2 linked regions of the Caenorhabditis elegans genome follow. The protein of the gene in region 2 interacts with the protein of the main gene of each other region in a pairwise test. Each region holds a gene or a part of one and is shown on either strand. Other genes may lie near its edges.

Region 1 (2,624 bases), on a different chromosome or scaffold from region 2:
AAATTTTCAATTTTGCCGGTTCACCGATTTTCCGGAAATTTCAATTCCGGCAATTTTCTGATTAGTCGGAAATTTCAATCCTCCGGCAATTTTGCCGATTTGCCAGAAATTTCAATTCAGGCAATTTTCCAATTTGTCGGAAGTTTCAATTCCCGCAATTTTCCGATTTGCCGGAAATTTTAATTCCGGCAACAGTTTTATATGACCTCTTTCTTATTATTTGGTTTTTTAATTTAATAATAAAGAACAAAACACAAATTCGAAAAATACAAATTATTTATTTTTACACAACAATAAATAGACAACACACTTAAATGGTCATATCCCGGTTGTTTTAAGATTTATCGAAAAACTACCAACAAACAAAATATTGCTGATGCCTTTTTCAATAATTTTGTAGTTGAACACTTTTCGATATCACTTATTTAAACCAAGATATAGGATACCAAAAATGAAATAGAATACAATTAAACTAAAAACAAATATTTACATTTAAAAATTCAAGCTCCATTCGAATAAGTTTCTCTCGGCGAGTTCTCACAATCATAGATCCCGCGACGACGATTGCGGTATGGTTCCCACGTTCCATTTCTTCCATACGGATGCCATCGTCTCCCATGACGCTGCTCCCACTCGGCAAGCCCATCTCGACAACGGCATGGCGAGGAGTCACTGGAATTGGTTGATGATTTAGAACTCACCGAGTCATCGGAAGAAGAGGACGAGGAAGAATCATCAGAGTCATCAGAAGAGTCGTCAGACGAAGTGTTCGGAGGTTTCACCGACTTTCTCTTCGATCTCTGTTTACGAGCTCGTCGAGCTCGTGGAGCTGGAGATTCAGAGATCGGAAGTTCCGAAGAACGTGGATATTGACACCCTTGGGTGTCTCTACGATCTTGAGAAGTTAACGTGGAAACCGTGGAGTCGGAATATCTATCTTCATCGTCCTTATCTGAAAGTTCAGATTCTGAACTATCAGATGACGAGTCGAAGAATCCGTCTCCAAGAGGAAGTGGACGAGTGCTGAGCTTTCTCATTGTAAATGAGATGCTCTTCAAGGTGAGAGGTGCTGGTTTTATAGGTGGGTTTTGTTGACGAATAGTTTCGAATTATTTCGAAGAGTTTCGAAATTAGTCATGACTTTGATAAGGTGGGCAAATATTGATGACGATATGTGTGTAGTATTGCCAAATTTGAGGAGAACTCCTTGCCGTTTGATCTCCGAAAATTGGGGTCACACAGAACATTTCTGGAAGTACATAGAAGTCTATGTTTCCCGCAATTTTCAGAGGTCAAAAAGTAAGGAATTTGCAAATTTTTTTGCAAATTTTTTTTCCGGCAAATCGGAAAATTGCCGGAATTGAAAATTTCCGGCAAATCGGCAAATTGCGGAATTGAAATTTTCCGGCAAACTTGAAAGTTACCGGAATTGGACATTTTCGGCATACCGGCAAAGTGACAAAATTTAAAATTTCCGACAAATCATCAAATTGCCGGAATTGGAGTTGTGGCATACCGGCAAATTGACGGAATTGAAATTTCCGGTAAATCGTAAAATTGCCGGAATTGAAATTTCCGGCAAAACTGGGGCAATTACATAACTCTAGAAGGAGAACATTTTTGAATTCATAGCTCTTATATCTCTATAGTAAAATTTATGCTATAAATTTATATAAAAAACGTCCTAAAATTGTATTTTGCGCAGCAGGACCCATCTTTGTCGTGCTTTAAAGTTTCAAAAATAGAAACTCATTATTGACACACGAATTTATTTTTAAAAAAATACAAATAATAATAAATTTTATATTTAATTTGCATACTACAAAAACAAGTAATTTTTATCAAAAATTGCAAAATTCCGGTAGTCAAGTTAGTTCGTATGGGGTGGTTGAGAATTGATAACCCATACGATCCGGACCGCAGGAATTCGAAAACTGTTGGGGAGGAGGAAGTATATATACTAGAGGCAATGCAAGCGGTGGACGTTTCTCGAGGAATGGTGGTGGGTTTCTCTGGGTCTCTAGTAGTGTACAAAATGCGCTCCACCGCAATTCGATAATTAGGAGACTGTGTCAAACAACTTTATGTAAGGTGTAATTTTTTGGGTAAAAAATTGACTAATGATTTGAAAAAATCTATTTTAAAAAATCTGCATTTCAAGCCTATATATACGAAATCTTATTTTGTTTCTGTAATTTTTATTATTTTTCGAATTTAATTGAAAAATGCCTAACTAAAATTAAACGTTTCTTTCTAATCAACTTGCCCACCAAATTCCAACAATGCAAAACAGGAAGTCAAGTTGTTGCCGATGGGGTGGTTTCTTCAGATAACCCACCGACTCCGGACCTATGCCTGATAAAAAACCTTCTATCAACAGAGTATATATACCAACGGTCTGTTAAGTGGACGACGGTGTGTTGATAAGTGGCGTTTCAATGGAGCGCACTTGCAATAGTTGTGAAATCAGTTAAAATTTTGCGCTAGTAATTCAAATCCACATATATTATACATACATTACTTTATTTTTACACAATTAATACAGGCATAGTTTTGCACTCGATTGAACTTGTCCGGGATTCTTCTAGGCCGCCGCCGGCGCCACCCCCTTGTTCGGGCACATT
Region 2 (3,987 bases):
CTGAGAAATGCGAATAAATATATTTAGAAACGTATTTTTCAAATTGAAGGTGGGTTCACTGGTTTTTGAATCTTTCCCGTAAGACAACAGTTCTCATTGATGAGTAAGAGTATACCTCACTGCACGGTGAAAGAAGATGTGGAATAGATAAGACGTAAATTGCGTTGAAGGTCTCTGTATAGTTGCGCACCACACCACGCATCTGTTGTTCCTAATTCTGTTTTGATAGAATGGGGTTTGAAAGGTTTCGGGATAGGAAGAATGAAGATGTACATGTACTTCCTCGAAAATCGGAAGTGAAGACAACAAAAATGAAGATCAAACAACAGTCGGATGTGTTCCGCGACACCAATTCTAATTGATATGGATGTTTGTACAAAATACCAGTTACAGTTTCAGAAACATCAGGAAAAATTACAGATACTATTGTAATAAACATTTTTGTAAAATTCTACATATGAATTAATGAAAAGAATGAATAGAACCTGGCCTTATATGTAGTTTAGAATTGTAAATTTATCATGCTAATTATTTTTCTGAATCTCCTTTGTAATTTAAGGCAAATACCAGGCACTTTCAAGTTAAGTAACACGATTATCAGCCTGTTTTGCCTGCATGTTTACGCGCCCTGCATATTCGATCCTAGGCTGTTGTGAAGCGAGAGCCAACCGCATCAGCTCCGAGCCTCCGAGCCCACCGCCGCTGGTCATTGATTTAGAACAAGTCTGCAGCGGTCGTCAAAGTAGCCCCCAAAGCGCTGCCGCATTGTTTGAATTTGCTCCAAGTTTCCAGAAACATCCAGGAACATGCAAGAATCATCATTTAACTTTGAAAACGGCAAGCTTCTGTAGTCACATTTTCAAATTTTCAGACCATACATTACTCAAGATAATTTGAAGGTAAATTATGGCCCAAAGAGTTATGGTGAGCGCTCTTTCTATTTGAATAACAGAGCGACTTCAAATGACGACCGAGCGCCTGGTGGGTGGGCAAAAGGCAGCCCCCTAGAAGCCTCCGCATGTCCGATGTTTTCGTCCTATTTTCTGCACAAAAATATTCAAAGTTCAAGATTTTAGGCCGAGTTTCTAGTCAACTAAAAGCCCGGAAAAAGACGAACCCGAATATCTAATTTTCATCTAATATATCTGAAATTATGTTGACTTCCTTCAAAGAAGAAATGTGGTGCGCGCTCTTGTTGACACATTGCGAAAGAGACCCTTTATGAGTCGTAGGAGGCGGCGGTTTTCTGTTGGCAGCCCCCTCGAATCACTCCGCAATTGTGTGTTTGTAGCGCGCCAAACGGCTCTTTTTAAACACAGATATCAAAACTTATATTTTCTTCACTTTAGCTGATGAAACAGACTTTCCCCTCTCAGAATATATAATTTTTATTCTGAAATTCGCAGTTTGAATGGTTTTTACAGACCCTAAAATGATGGTGCGCGCTCCTTTCGGCAGATAGGGAGAGACGCACAGAAAACGAGAGGGAGGGCTGGGAGGGGTGCCGCTCACTCTGTTCAACATTACTCGCTCGACAACGTCCTTCTCGTTTCTTCTTGATGCATTGTGTATACTTCTACAAGGGCTCATACGCCTCGTGTTAGAAGAGATGAAAATGTCCCATCAGTTTCATATCATATAAGAATACGGAAAGGAGCCATTCTTTGCTTTCTTCAAACAATCTTCATTTGTTTACCGCCCTCTTTCTTCTCTTTCTCATTTGACCTTTTTGTATCAAACTCTTTATATTCTCGTTTTTCAGTGACTCATCCACTTCAAGCAACTAAATCAACTATGTCTGACGGAAAGGAAGAGCTCGTGAACCGCGCCAAGCTTGCCGAGCAGGTATGTAGATGTCTCAGGATGTTCTTGAATACTAAAACTTTAATTTCAGGCTGAGCGTTACGACGACATGGCCGCATCCATGAAGAAGGTCACCGAGCTGGGAGCTGAGCTCTCCAACGAGGAGCGCAATCTTCTCTCCGTTGCCTACAAGAACGTCGTCGGAGCCCGTCGTTCTTCATGGAGAGTCATCTCTTCAATTGAGCAGAAGACCGAAGGATCTGAGAAGAAGCAACAAATGGCCAAGGAATACCGTGAGAAGGTTGAGAAGGAGCTCCGCGACATCTGCCAAGACGTTCTCAACTTGCTCGACAAGTTCCTCATTCCAAAGGCTGGAGCCGCCGAGTCCAAGGTCTTCTACCTCAAGATGAAGGGAGACTACTACCGTTACCTCGCTGAGGTCGCCTCCGGAGACGACAGAAACTGTAAGTGATTGAAAATGATGACTGTAATTGGGACATAACCGTGCACTCGTTTCTAACCCTCATTCGTAAGCTATGCATCCTTGTGTGAAGTGTGGAAAGATATCATAGGGAAGACAGAGAACGGGAGTTCAGGCGCGACCCAATTCCACATCGATGCGTAGTTTTTGAAAATAAACTCTAGGGCAGCTCATTGGGGGTTCTCCTCTAGGGAGTTCTGCCTCTCATAGTCATACTCGTTTCAAAGAAGACCAGAAATGAATATTCCTTCTTTGCAGCGGTTGTCGAGAAGTCGCAGCAAAGCTACCAAGAGGCGTTCGACATTGCCAAGGATAAGATGCAACCAACTCACCCAATCCGCCTGGGACTTGCTCTCAACTTCTCTGTCTTCTTCTATGAGATCTTGAACGCCCCGGACAAGGCTTGCCAGCTTGCCAAGCAGGTGTGTTAATGTTTTTATTTTATTTTAGCAGTAGCCAACATTGGACAAACGGCTTACGCGGAGGCACTTGAAATTGCAAATAAAGATCTGTCACCAACGAACTGTGTTCGCCTTGGTCTTGCACTCAATTATTCGGTGTTTTTTTATGAAGTAGCAGCAAGCCCGGATAGAGCATGCCAGCTTTCCAAGCAGGTGCTCGTTAAGTTTTTGACATAGCATCGTAACTTCAAAGCTATTGATTACCTTTAATCTTTCAGGCTTTCGATGACGCCATCGCTGAGCTCGACACCCTCAACGAGGACTCATACAAGGACTCTACCCTCATCATGCAGCTTCTCCGTGACAACTTGACTCTCTGGACCTCGGACGCTGCCACCGATGACACTGATGCCAACGAGACAGAGGGAGGCAACTAACTCCTTCACACCGACACGTTACCGCCACACACCCCTCACCTCGATCTTGAAAATGATAAATAATACTATTTGTCATATGATTTATTTATTACCATTGACTAGTTAAACCATCGTTTTTCTTTCCATTTTTTTCTATAAATTCATCAATCACTCCCCTTTTCCCATCAACCAAATGCAGAAGTTATTCAAATTTCTGTGCTGAGCCCACTCATCAAAACTTCCCGTCTCTACCCATACAATTCAATGTTCCGTTTTGTTACGGCTTTTCCCCCTTTCAAATCTCGACATTCGAAACACCCCCAAGCTTTTGAATACACATAATAAAGTTGTAACACCAACTTCAATATGAGAAATTAACGCAGATAATCACGTCGAAGAAATATTAAGAGGGGAGGATTCCGATTGACATCCAAATGTATAAAAATTAGTGCAATTGAACAAAGTTCGAATGAGAAAAGAAAACTGAAACGAACGTTTTCTTTTAGCGACATCTTGTTATTGCAGGTTGTTCTTCCTTAACCAAGATAACTACTACGTCTTAGGCACTTGCTAAGGTTCAATTCAAAATTTATTTCATTTATTATAGATATGAACAAAGATGAAAACTAGAATTTAATGTTCATATTCATTGAGGAATAAGAAAAGGTGGAGTCCTGGATTAAATCTCCGGTACATGACACTTTCATAGGTTTATTTCTAGTTAAATTGGCTTTACAGATATAGCAAAATTTTGGTTAGTGACATACTTGAAAACTACTTATTTGGACGGGTAGGTTTCATTTGCAACGCCAGGTGGCGGCGCCAGCTAACAACCAAAAAATTGGGGTTTTTACAGCCGATAATATAAGGAGTGGTAATTGGTACA

Evidence for each region. The genes of interacting proteins can lie anywhere in the genome.
Region 1: the proteins of ftt-2 (region 2) and F08G2.5 interact in a two-hybrid assay, tested with the Caenorhabditis elegans proteins (one large-scale study listed by BioGRID).

What each region holds. Positions count from the first base shown.
Region 1 is NC_003280.10:13,832,595-13,835,218, forward strand, and holds F08G2.5 (WW domain-containing protein), read right to left. Parts: upstream 1,038-2,624; coding exon 501-1,037; downstream 1-500. Other genes in the region: ins-37 (INSulin related), read right to left, coding at 2,518-2,624.
Region 2 is NC_003284.9:11,603,188-11,607,174, reverse strand, and holds ftt-2 (14-3-3 domain-containing protein), read left to right. Parts: upstream 1-1,755; 5' UTR 1,756-1,794; coding exon 1,795-1,845; intron 1,846-1,894; coding exon 1,895-2,267; intron 2,268-2,542; coding exon of another isoform or gene 2,543-2,706; intron 2,707-2,734; coding exon 2,735-2,898; intron 2,899-2,963; coding exon 2,964-3,122; 3' UTR 3,123-3,467; downstream 3,468-3,987. UniProt on the Caenorhabditis elegans protein: Required for extension of lifespan by sir-2.1. Required to modulate lifespan, in concert with hcf-1, acting redundantly with 14-3-3-like protein par-5. Promotes nuclear export of yap-1.